2 linked regions of the Rattus norvegicus genome follow. The protein of the gene in region 1 purifies or fractionates together with the protein of each later gene. This does not show direct contact. Links are inferred from orthologs where the notes say so. Each region holds a gene or a part of one and is shown in the gene's direction. Other genes may lie near its edges.

Region 1 (6,557 bases):
CTCTGCAGGCATCAGATACACATTTATGCATACATGTAAGAAAACCAGCCATATGAATAAAATACAAATAAATAACTCAAAGGAAAAGAAGAAAAGAACAAAAGAAAGAAGAAAAGGGGGGCTGGAGAGATGGCTCAGTGGTTAAGAGCACTGACTGCTCTTCCAGAGGTCCTGAGTTCAAATCCCAGCAACCACATGGTGGCTTGCGACCATCTCTAATGAGATCTGATGCCCTCTTCTGGTGTGTCTGAAGACAGCGATGGTGTACTCACATATATAAAATAAATAAATCTTAAAAATTAAAGAAAAAAAAGGGCTGGAGAGATGTCTCAGTGGTTAAGAGCACTGACTGTCACTTACAGGGGTCCTGAGTTCAAATCTCAGCAACGACATAGTGGCTCATGACCATCTATAATGGGATCTGATGCCCTCTTCTGGTGTGTTCACAGTATCTACAGTATGCTCATATACATTTGGAAAAAAATTTAAAAAAAAGAGATGGGCAGTGGTGGTGCACACCTCTAATCCTAGCCCCCAGGGGTCAGAGGCAGGTGCATCTCTGAGCTGACAGAGCAAGTGCCAGGACAGCCAGGGCTACAGAAAGAAGCCCTGCTTAAGAAAAAAGAAATATGGAGTAAAATAAACAGGGAGGGAGGCTGGAGGAGAACAGTGCACTCTGCTCTTGCAGGGGACCTGGATGCAGTCCCCAGCACTCATGGTGGCCCAGTTTTGACTTCTAAGGGCACCAGTCTCATGTGGTACACGTAATACCACATAATGCATGCGGGCAAACTTTTATAGCCATAAAACAAAAAGAAACAAAAAATTAAGTGGGGACAAAAACAAAAAACAAAATAGGGCCAGGGCTGTGTTTAGCTCGGTGTGCAAATGTTCACTTAGCACATGTAGGGCCTTGTGTGCTGAGAGAAAGGGAGGAAGAGCAACCAGCAACCAGCCAGTCAGTCAAACAAACAAACAAACAAATAAACAAACCCAGAGCTAGACAGAGAGAGCCCTTAGAGCCAGCTCTCCAGGGCAAGGAGGAAGACGTGGAAAGGACCTCTGGAGAGTGTGCTCCTGTGACCTGGGGCTTGTGCAATTGCAGTGTCAGGCTGTGTCTGGGGTGGGAGCTGGAGGCTGAAGCACCAGACTTTCTAGAACAGTATAACTGTGCTGAGGGTGTATGTGCGTTTGTAAGCAGAATCCCAATCACATAGTCATCTTAACCTGTGTCCTGGTGTGTGTGTGTGTGTGTGTGTGTGTGTGTGTGTGTGTGTGTGCGCGCGCGCGCACGTGTGTGTGTGCACATGTGTGTGTGCATGTTGTTTGTGTGTGTGGTGTGTGTATGGGGTGTATGTATGTGCATGGTATGTGTGTGTGTATGGTATGTGTGTGTGCAGGGTGTGTATATATGCATGGTGTGTGTGTGTGTGTGCAGGGTGTATGTATGTGCATGGTGTGTGTGTGTGTGTGTGTGTGTGTGTGTATGTGTGTGTGTAGGGTGAAGGTGCCCAGCTGTGTGTGTGGGAGTACTGGGGGATGTTGTGGAGCTGTTTTCTGTCCCCAGAGGGAGAGAGTGAGCTCAGTAAATCACAGTTCCGCCCTGTTCCTGGGTCTCCAGGCAACCGTACCACTTTGAAGTTACTAGGAGACGAGGTTTCCAGGGAAACTCAGGCTTGAATGACAGCTTTAGAGCCAAGTTTGGGTGAAGAGACTGGCTGAGCAATCAGGATCACTCACCTTGGTTCCTCAGTTCTTCCTCCTCCATTCAGTGACTTAACAAGGATCGCACGTCTCCAGTATGGTCATAGACTCTTGTGAATGAAGCCCTTGTTCTCTTATTCTCTCCAATTTCTCTCTCTCTCTCTCTCTCTCTCTCTCTCTCTCTCTCTCTCTCTCTCTCTCCCCCTCCCTCCCTCTCTTCTTCCCTCCCTCCCTCCCTCTCCCTCTCCCTTTTCCTCTACCTCTCCCTCCCCATTCCCAGTCCTGAGAAATGTTCTCTCTTCTGTCAATAAAAGCAAGCATTAAGAAGACCCTAGGGGTTGGGGATTTAGCTCAGTGGTAGAGCGCTTGCCTAGCAAGCGCAAGGCCCTGGGTTCCGTCCCCAGCTCCAAAAAAAAAAAAAAAAAAAAAAAAAAGACCCTAGACCAAAGAGAAAGTTAGATGACAGACCTTGTCAAGAGCCCTCATACAGGGAGCTCGAGAGGGAGCATGGGTCTCGCGCTGCGGCTGTGATGGCCATCGGGTCTGGCACACGCAGCAATGAACAAGACACAGTATTGCAAATGAGATAGAAGGCAAGGACTGACCTCCACACACTCAGGGTGACACAGGCGATCCTGCACACGCCCCCACAAAAAAAGATTAAAAAAAGTAAAACAAAAATCAGGATCAGTGAGATGGCTTAGGGGATTCTGAGCCCTGAAGGTCTGCCATCCAGGGAATATACATGGTGAGGGAGAAAGAACTGAATCCCATCCCGGAACTAGTCCTCAGAGCACATGCACCCTGTGTCATGGGAGTTTCTAGACTGCTTGCTCGGCATGTACAAAACCCTGAATTTCATCCTCAGCCTTGCATGAATTTATCGCGGTGGCATAGGCTAAAATGTCTGGGGCCCTCCTTAAAAAAAAAAAAAAGGCCAAATCTATGAGTCTGTAGCCCGTAAAAACCACCCCCATATTCCAATATGCAGAGACTAGCAGACAGCTATCCCTTTCCACCTGTGAACTTTCCTTCGGTGACCTTAGCAAATCTTCTCACCAACATATTGTAATGATCACATAGAATCACAATATTTATTTTGCAGGTGGGCAAGCTAAGAGTCTGGTTTGTTTTTTTGTTTGTTTTTTTTTCTTTTTTTTGGAGCTGGGGACCGAACCCAGGGCCTTGCGCTTGCTAGGCAAGTGCTCTACCGCTGAACTAAATCCCCAACCCCGAGTCTGATTTTTATTATTAGTGTTTTGTTAAAGATAGGTGCTCATGTAGCTCAGGCTGGTTGCAGACCTCAACATTTGTTGAGGGGACCTACTTTTTTTCTTTTTTAAAAGAGACGGTTTCTGTAGTCTGGTCTTGAACTCAGATCCGCCTGCCTCCACCATTCAAGTGCTAGAATTAAAAGTGCGCCGAGCGGCTTCTACTTTTTTATTTTTAGATTTATTTTTACGTGTGTGTGTGTGTGTGTGTGTGTGTGTGTGTGTGTGTGTGTGTGTGTGTGTGTGTGTGTGTGTTTGTGTGCGCGCGCGCGCACCCGGAGGGCCATTAGAATGTGTGCCACGTGCAGCGGAGGCCAGAAGAGGGCGTCGGATTCCCTCAAACTGTAGTTATGGATGGCTGAGAGTCACCTAGTAGGTAGTGGGAACTGAACGTGGGTCTTTTGGAGAAGCAGCCAGTGCTCGTAACTGAGCCATTCTCTCCAGCTCCGACCGAGAGCCTGAGCGTCTCTGGGGAGCGCATTTGGACCCTCGCTCGACCTTCCTTTTAATGGACCACGCGGCTTCTTGCAGCAGATTCCCTCAAGTACCCATTTCCTCCACTCTCCTTGTTTTGACCATTTGCCGACAGCTCCAGCAACGAACCTAGACAGTGAACTATAGCCAATGAGGCCTCGGTGTGGGCGGGCCCAAGATGAGATCTCGCTTCTGATTGGACAGCGGTACTAAGCAAATGGCGGAGGCGCTGAGGCGGGTACTAAATGCGGGCCGCGCGGCAGGGCCCGGAGAGGATAGCAACCCCGGGCCGCCCTTGCTGTTGCTCGGCGCTCCGCGCTCTGCGCAGACGTCGCTGCTGTTTGCCGCGGCTCTTGAGGCAGCAGGGGAAGGCCGCGGGCCCGTCCTCTTCCTGACGCGAAGGCCTCTTCAGAGCCTGCCTCTCAGTACACCCGCAGCGCGAGACCATTGGCGGCTCCAGGTAACCGGAGGGCTGGACCTGGCTATGCGTCACCCAATGGCGGGCTAGGTTGCTCATGAGTGACAGTTCGGTAGGTAAATGGCAGTGTGGATCGTAGATTTACTGCTAAATCGTCATAAAGTCTATATGGGAGAGGTGGGTGGAAGAAGCGAAGTAGGCACCTGGGACGGGACAGTGCCGGCTTAGTTGAAGATTAAATGAAAGACCGTCCTGCGGTGTTGCTGAGCATGGGTGCCAAGCCAAAAAACAAACAAACAAACAAACAACCCCCCCCCCCAAAAACCACCAACAAAAACATGTGCGAAGCCCTGGGTTCTTTCTATCTCTTTAACCAGACTTAGTAATATATGCCTGGGATTCAGTTCTTAGGAGGTCAGAAGTGTCAGACCAGCCTTGTTCACAAAACGAGTTTGTGATCATCCTGGACTACATAAGATTCTGCATTAAAGAAAATTTTTTTGGGCAGTGATAAGTGCTGGAAAAGGGCGGGTAACAAGGTGAATATTTGAGCTGGTGCTTCATCCTGGAACTTTCCAAATGGACCATGAGAGCCTCGACCAGAAAGTATGGAAGAAGTGAGGTAGCCGTAATAGAGAGTTTTGACCTCCTATATTAAATCTAGCCTTTTCCTATCTTCTAGAAGATTCGATTCCAGTACCCATCCTCAATTCAGGAGCTTCTCCAGCTGCTAGCCTCTGCCCATGAGGCCCCAGCGCCTGTCCCATCCCTTCTACTCCTGGATGGCCTGGAAGAATATTTAGCAGAGGACCCAGGGACACAGGACACCGCCTACTTGGCTGCATTGCTTCTGGATACTGCTGCCTATTTCAGCCACCGGCTTGGAGCCAGTGGCAACTGTGGGCTTGTGGTGGCCCTTGAAACCCAAAAAGAAGCCGATGGTGATGTCCCACATCTGGCATTACTTCAGCGTTATTTTCCTGCACAGTGCCGGCTGCAGCCAGATGCCCTAGGCTTGGGACAGCATTGCTGCCTTCGAGCTAGCCTAGAGACAGGCAAGCTGAGCCCCAGGACAGAGTGGTCAGTGACTTTCTTACCTGGTGGAGAGATGAAGATCACCCCATGGCCTGCCCAGGCTTCTAAGCTCAGCCCAGACCAAAACTGTTCAAGTGCTGGAAGCCAGTCTTTAACTTTGGGGTGTGACAACCTCCCTAGTCCCAGGTTTCCCTTGGATGGAATACTTACCTCAGGGACAGGTGCAGATTCAAAGACCTGAGAATGTAGGTTTCCTGTTTATAAACCAGCATCATTGTTGTTGGGGGCTGGCAAGATGACTTAGGAGGTCAAGGGTCTTGGCCACCAGCGTGATGACTGATTCTCAGGACCCACGTGGTAGAAAGATAGAACGGACTCCTGGAAGTTGTCCTCTCACCTCCACACATGCCCTGCACACTAATAATAATACTAAATTAATAATGAAACCTTTAAGACAAATAAGATCGCTGGAGCCTTCCTCTGTCCACTCACCATTGTTAATGAGATTCAGCCATATTTCCTAGTTCATTTCTTTTTATCTGCTGCATTTTTTACCCAGAATGGCTCTCTCGTAAGTCAGGCTAGTCTCAAACTAGATACGTAGCTGAGGCTGTCCTTGAACTCCTGATCCTCCAGCCTCATCTCTTGAGGGTGGGGCCTATGGTGTATGCTCCTATTCTTGGCTCCTCTTGCACATTCCATGGGTGCCTGTATCCCGGTTACCTCTGTGTGTTGACTTACCGACTGTTAGGGTCTAGTCATACACATGAGCTTACACAGCACTCAGGGTGTGCAGTTGGGAGTGGATTCGTTCCATGTAGAGTATGCATACATCTAGCTTTCTTAGGACATACATTTTTAAAGTCATTTGACGGAAGCTGAGCATCATGGTGTGCAAAATGGTAAGGCCAGCTTTGGGAGGTAGAGGTGGGAGGTCACAAATGCAAGGCTAACCTTGGCTACATAAGGTATTGGAAGCCATGCTGACTTACACTAGATCCTGTCTCCAAAAACCAAAATGGGCCAGGTGTGGTGTGGCACAGGCCTTTAATCCTAGTGCAGAGGCAGGTGGATCTGTGTGTATGTGTTTAAGGCCAGCCTGGTGTATGTGCCAAGTTCCAGGCCAACCAGGGCTACAAGGACAAAAACTAGAGAACTGGAGGGAGAGCTCAGTGGTTAGGAATTCTGTCACCGAGTCAGCTTTGGTTATGCATGTGTCTGAGTCATTTCCCTGAATAATCCCTCACCCATGTTCCTGCATAACTCCAGTAAAACTTTATTGGTTCACCAAATTGGACTTTGGTGGTATGTGTACGTGGGTTTTCTATCTGTCAAGTAGACGTCTGTTCATGTCCCACAGGGGTAGTGTTACCAACCATGGAGAAGGCATTAGGTTTTGGAGCAGCATATATTAGCAGCTAGCGAAATGTACACTGACCATTATAGTCTGTCCTCATATCACCAGATCCAAAATTTCAGTGCTCACTCTTTGTTTCCATGGGCTAGGTCCAGGCAAAGACGGGGTACCCGGAAGGGAGGGTTGTGGTGCAGTCCGCAGTCTTTGTGGCAACCCAAAGGCAGACAGAAGAGACTAACAGAAGCGCACAGGCAGCTGGCCTGAAACAGGAAGTAAGGCAGGAACAAGGTGCTTTCCC
Region 2 (6,775 bases), on another chromosome or scaffold:
TCAAGATAAGGTAAGGGCTTATGGATGTCAGGTGATAAATGGAGTTTTGGCTGAAGTCTGACTCACAGTAGTAGGTTGAGCCGGTCCCTGAACTCATCCTGTGGTTATTTCTCCAGACTCAGAATGTATGTTTGGTGATATATATATATATATATATATATATATATATATATATATATATCTCCATCCTTAGAAGTTGGTAGAATTCTCACATTGGTTCCCTGATCTGTGAAGTAAGGGCTATTATGGTTGGAAAGGCCAAGGGAAGACTTTAGAGTTGTCTCTACTCCAGGAAAATACTGAATTAAAAAACAGTATTGCCCCCCTGGAGGAATTTCAGAAAGAACTTGAAAGATGCAAGGGTCATAGTTACCACCACATCTCCCTTTAACACTTCTACCTGTCCCATGCAGGAGACAGATAAATCATGGAGAATGATACTTGGATATTGAAATTTCACTCAGGTAGTGACTCTGATTGTAGCTGCATAGATGATGTGCTGTCTTTACCTTGATCAGATGAGCATCTCTCCTGGTACATGGTATGCAGCTATTGCTCTAGCAAATCCTTTTTTTCCTGGTACCTGATTATAAGGACCACCAGAAGGAACTTGCTTTCAGCTGACAAGGCCAACAGTATAGTTACTGTTTTACCTCAAGGATGTATTAACTCTAAAGCCCCCTTAGAAGGAATCCCAATTGTTTTACACAAAATAACACATTTGGCTCACTATACTGAACATTATGCTGATTGAACCAGGTGGGCAGGAGGTAGCAGCCACTCTGGATTTGTCGGTAACACTTATGTGCATCATAGGGTAGGAAAATAAATCGAACCAAAATTCAAGGTTATTAACTGATATCTTAGTGAAATTCTTAGGAATTCAGCGGAGTAGGGCATGTAGAGATATTACTTCTAAGGTGAAGGATAACTTATTATTATTTTTTTTTTTTTTGGTTCTTTTTTTCGGAGCTAGGGACCGAACCCAGGGCCTTGCGCTTCCTAGGTAAGCGCTCTACCACTGAGCTAAATCCCCAGCCCGGAAGGATAACTTATTACTTGGCCCCTCCCACCACCAGGAAAGAGGCACATACACTGTTTAGTGGGCCCGTTTAGATTCTGGACGCAGCACATTCCTCACTTGAGGTCTGATTCCAGCCCATATACAAAGTGACTCAGAAAGCTGCTTTGTGAGTTCAGGCCTTGTGCAGGGCTTGGAACAGAAGGCTTTTCAATGGATACAGGCCACATTGCAGCCTGATCCACAACTGGACCACATGACCCAGCAGAACCAATGGTACTTAAGGTCTCAGTAGCAGATAGGGCTGCTGTTTGGAGCCTTCGTCAGGGTCCCATGAGTGAATCACAGGAGAGAGTATTGAGATTTTGGAGCCAGGCTCTACTGTCATCTGTATGTGACTTGAACTGCCCATCGTGTGCTTACTATTATCTGACCCACCAAGTCTTAAAGTAGAGCATGCACAGCATCAATCTACAGTCAAATGGAAGTGGTATATATGCGACCAGGACCCGAGCAGGTCTGAAGGCACAAGAAGTTACACAAAGAAGTTGCCCAGCACCTATGGTTTCTACTCACATTGCAGTGCCATCTGCTGCCAAACAGATCCAAAACATCCAAAGAACGAATTCATCTTCCAAATTAAAGTAATCTCTGAACCAGCATCTAGAAAGTTAAGAATGTAAGCTCTCTGGCTTTTCCTTAGATCTACAGTATGTGAAATCTACTTCATAACACATCCGCTAAACTCTTTGCTCTTGATATTTATGAATTTGATATTTAAGAATTCCTCATTAGGTAGGGAAGTACTATTCATTTCCCTGGCTTACTTATGTTTTATTACTAATTACAATAATTATTGAATTCTAGTTTATTTGGGGGGTCTTATTTTATGGCCCAGTGTTGCTCTACAAAACACAATTTGAAATAGAACATCTCTAAGGTCTTGCTTAGCTGGGAGAGCGGGTGACCTGTAGATCAAATTCCCAGGCTCCCCAGAGGGAGAGGATGAGCCTACAACAGCAGACCCTACAGCTTGATTCTGTGGAACTCGAGACTGGGCTTTCACAAGGGGCGGGGTGCGGGAAGGGGCGGGGCGCGGGAAGGGGCGGCTCTGGGGGAGGCGCCTTCGGAGGTAAGGGGGCGGGGCTTCCGGAGGGAGGGAATGGCTTCCGGAAGGGGCTGAGAGTGAGAGGGGCGGACGGTGCTTGTTAAACATGTCTGGAACCCGCCGCCCCGGCGTGTCCAAGGTACGACGTGCTGTTGCTTTGGAAGCAGAGGGCCGGCGCGCAACCTCCGTGGGCTTCTCACCCCTGCCCCTAGTCGCGTGAAGGGAGCTGGTGCGCCCAGTCTGATCGGCCCGAGCCCGTTGGTGGCTCGTCGGACTGGGCTGGTTTCTCTGGCTCTGCCCAGGTCTGCGCTGAGTGGTTCTGGAAACCTTCGGAAAGAGTGTGTGAGCTGGCGCCTGGCAGTTCACTTGCCTCCGTTTTATTCTGTTGCTCAACACACTAAGAGTGTAGTGGGTATTGGAGAATCTCTTCTGACTCGCTCTAGGCATCTTTCATTACACTTTGCTTTCCCGCCCAAACTTTCTAAGAGGATGTGTTTCTCCGGTGGCTCCCGCGGTCTCTGTATACTGTAGGCACGGAGTGTAGGAACTGTTACAGGGTGGATGTTTAAGTGATCCTTTTCATTTCTCCGTCATTGTGTGCCTCTTGGATATTTGCCTTTTCAAAGATTCTCACTTACAGATGTTTGCTTCGTAATACTTAAAATTTAGAACAGCAAACGGTGCCTCATACCTTGGCTTGCTCTTTATTTCACTAAATGCTTCAATTCCTTTAGCAGTACCATTCTTTCTTATTTCGCAGATAGCCCTGAAAGACCACACTGCGAACTTTGTGGCTGATTTAGGGAGTTAAAGCACGTATAACTTAAAAGACTAATTATTTCAGAAAGACTAAAATGTGAAAAAAAAAACCCAAGGAATTAAAACATTTCTAAATCTAACATAAATTAATTATTGCAGCCCTCGATACCCTTGCCACCAGTATACATTTATTTAAGCGTCCCTAAAGTCCTAATTCACCTTCATAGATGCTTATTTAATTTTCCTTACTGCCCAGCTCCAAATTTTGACTGTGCTTTTTGTCAACTTTAAGAACTTGCCCTGGAGTCTTTTACATTGATTTTAGCTGTCACAACTGTATAAACAATGTATTATGAAATTATTTGTTTAGTTTACCAGGCCCTAACGATTTTTCCTAACTTAGAAATCTGTTGTTTTTATTTCTTTCTGCCCTCTTCATTTTATTATTTTTCAATAGTTTTTCTTTTCAGTAGTTGTGCTACTTAATTGTTATGTAAAGATTGCTTCAAAAGTGAAGCAGCTTTCAACAAGTATGGCTATCAAGATTCTGAGTGTAGCTTAACCTTATGGTTGTTTCCCAGAGTCTTCTCCCAAGTTCACTGAGGTGGGGGTTGGTAAGTTTCAGTTTGTAATTTCCGTAGGGTGTCTCACAACTTTGTCAACAGCAAGTGAATCAGGCTCATATAACACAGGCTGGCTCCGAATTCACTGTTTAGTGACCTAGAACTCATCATTATGGATCTACATTTCAATTACTGGGATTACAAGTAGCATATGCCACCACACCTGGTTTTCATTTAATTAATTAGCTAGTATCTAATTAATTATCTAATTAATTTGCTGTTGGTGGAGGGAACAGGGCTTATGGCAGATTTGGAAATTAGTATGTAGATGAGGCTGTCCTGAGACCTGCAGTGTTCATCCTACCTCTACCTTCCCATTGCTGGGATTCTAAATGCCAGCCACCACATCAAGCTTCATTTAATCCTTTTCTCAATCCTTTGAAGAAGATATTTTTTTGTCTCATTTTATGGATGATGAAAGTGACTCCTAGCAGGAGGTTAAGTGATTTGCCCAATATACACAGCAGTCAAGTAAAAAGAAATTAGGATTTTATGCTCAGGTCGTCTCTCAGATCTTGCTTTGTGTTCATGCTATCTTTCACACTTTCCAAAGTTTATAGCTCTTGTTATTTATCCTCAGGTAAGTTAGACTTGTTGTTATTGTTCTTTTTGACTTGGTGTTTGCTCATATTCTTGATTTGAAATAATCCCCCTCCTCCCCCACTTCTGCTTATTGCAGGTAGCAAAGCCTGCCTTTTCCCTCTCATTCTCAGGCGCTTTCTTTTGTATACCGACGGAATTTTGTGTGTTTCATTCTTAACAGTTTCATGACTAGATTTGGGATTATTTGTGTCTATGCTTTTGATTCCGTAGAATAAATACAATTAGGAATGATGTCTCCAATTTATGCTGCTTAGAGCAACCGCCATTACCAGTAAATATCTGATGAACTTGCAAGTGTTCTAGTGTGAAGAAATGTGGAGAAATACCCTGATTAGAAATTTTGAATATCAGCTTCAGTTCTTCAACTTCCTGGTCATAGAGGTCTTGACAAGATATTATTAACCTAAATAACAGCCAGAGAGATATTTCTAAACTAATGATACTCTTGTGAGATGTGCATCCTACAGTAAAATGTGAGCACATTTAAAGAGTAAGGATAGACTTTTAAAGATTATATATAAGAGCAATAAGGAACATGACCTTTTTTTGATGGCACCTTCTGACTTAGGATTACTATTGTTGTGATGAAACACCGTGACCAAAAGCAACTTTGGGAGGAAAGGTTTATATGGAAATATCACAGTGCATCATCAAAAGAAGTCAGGACAGGAACTTAAGCAGGGCAGGAGCTTAGAGGCAGGATCTGACCCAGAGGCCATGGAGGAGTGCTGCTTACTGACTTGCTCCTCACGGCATGCTCAGCCTACTCTCATAAAAACCAGGACCAACAGCCTAGGAGTCTCACCTTGCACAATTGGCTGGGCCTTCCCCCTCTAATCACTAATTAAGAAAATGCCAGACAGGTTTGCCTACAGCCTGATCTTATGTAGGCTTTTTTCTTAATTGAGGTTCCTTCTCGGATATCCATAGCTTGTATGAAGTTGACATAAAACTGGCCAGGCCGTCTCCAACACCACTTCCAGTTCTCATCAGCAGATCTTTTTGATAAGTGCCTCTTGCTCGATGGCTATCACTTGGTAGACATTATTTACATAGTGTGAACTTTCATTTGAACTGAAGTATGGCTTTTGATTTTCAAGAAGGCAGAAGAGAAGGAGCTATCAGAAAGTTAAGAGTCTCTCACTGTTCTAGAAGGATTGAGTTCTATTAGAATAGGGTTAATTTTAGACAATAGGAGCATAGGGAAGAAAGAAAGCTGTTTAGATAGAAGTTTGGTGGATCTTTATAATGGCTGTAGGATGGCATCTCCATCCCTCTACTTGATGTCCTGTCTTTCTAGTGGAGGTGGACTCTACAAGTTCTCTCTCCCCACTGTTTGGCATTTCATCTAAGGTTCCCTAGCTGAGTCCTGAGTGTCTCTCACCAATCAGGTCTCTGGTACATTCTAGAGGGTCCCACCACCTCCTACCTTCTGAAGTTGCCTGTTTGCATTCAGGGCTTCACTTCTGTTCCCCCACCCCCCAGTACCTGATCATGTTCCCCTTCTCCCCTCCCTGTCCCTTTTCCTCCCCAGGTCCTTCCCTCCTCTGCCCCACATGATTGCTTTCTTTCCCCTCCCAAGTGGGATTGACCATCTTCACTTGGGCCCTTTGGCTTGTTAATCTTTAGTTCTGGGGATTGTATCCTGGGTATTCTGTGAGGTTTTGGTTAATATCCACTTATTAGTGAGTACATACCATGGATGTCCTTTTGGGTCTGAGTAATTTCATTCAAGATGATATTTTCTAGTTCCATACATTTGCCTGCAAAACTTATGGTGCCCTCATTCTTAATAGCTAAATAGTATTCTATTGTGTAAATGAACCACATTTTCTGTATCCATTCTTCAGTTGAGGGACATCTGGGTTGTTTCCAGCTTCTGGCTATCACAAATAAGGCCGCTATGAACATAGTGGAACATGTGCCCCTGTGGCATGGTGGGGCATCTTCTGGGTTTATGCCGAAGAGTGGTATAGCTGAGTTTTCAGATAGATGTATTTCCAATTTTCTGAGGAACCTCCAGACTGATTTCTAGAGTGGTTATACCAGTTTGCAGTCCCACCAGTAATGGAGGAATGTTTCTTTTTCTCTACATCCTTGCCAACATGTGCTGTCACCTGAGTTTTTGATCTTAGCCATCATGATTGGTGTAAGGTAGAATCTCAGGGTCGTTTTAATTTGTATTTTCCTGATCACTAAGGACTTTGAGCAAGTGCTTCTTGTCCATTTGAGATCCTTCTGTTGTGAATTCTCTGTTTAGCTCTATAGCCCATTTTCGACTAGGTGTTTTGTTACTTTGGAGGTTAGCATCTTGAGTTCTTTACATATTTTGGATATTAGCCCTCTATCGGATGTGGGGTTAGTGAAGATTTTCTTCTCAATCTATAGAGGTAGGTTGCTGATTTGTCCTATTGACTATGTCTTTTGCCTTATAGAAGCTTTTCAGTTTCATGAGGTTCTATTTATCAATTCTTGATATTAGGGCCTGAGCCATTGGAGTTCTACTTAGAACCCCCCGCCCCATGAGTTTGAGGCTCTTTCCCACTTTCTCTTCTATTAGATAGAGTCAATGTATCAGGATTTATGTTGAGGTCCTAGATTCACTTGGACTTGAGCTTTGTGCAAGGTGGCAAATATGGATCTATTTTTATTTTTCTATGT

What was found.
Region 2: the proteins of Swsap1 (region 1) and Spidr purify together in Homo sapiens (co-immunoprecipitation; 3 studies listed by BioGRID and IntAct, with this or other methods). This does not show direct contact. The link is inferred for Rattus norvegicus from reciprocal best matches to the Homo sapiens genes SWSAP1 and SPIDR.

The regions. Positions count from the first base shown.
Region 1 is NC_086026.1:28,759,091-28,765,647, forward strand, and holds Swsap1 (ATPase SWSAP1), read left to right. Parts: upstream 1-3,662; 5' UTR 3,663-3,964; coding exon 3,965-3,979; intron 3,980-4,549; coding exon 4,550-5,143; 3' UTR 5,144-6,191; downstream 6,192-6,557. UniProt on the Homo sapiens protein: ATPase which is preferentially stimulated by single-stranded DNA and is involved in homologous recombination repair (HRR). Has a DNA-binding activity which is independent of its ATPase activity.
Region 2 is NC_086029.1:98,507,155-98,513,929, reverse strand, and holds the start of Spidr (DNA repair-scaffolding protein), read left to right. Parts: upstream 1-2,200; 5' UTR 2,201-2,235; coding exon 2,236-2,268; intron 2,269-2,312; exon of another isoform or gene 2,313-2,467; intron 2,468-6,775. UniProt on the Homo sapiens protein: Plays a role in DNA double-strand break (DBS) repair via homologous recombination (HR).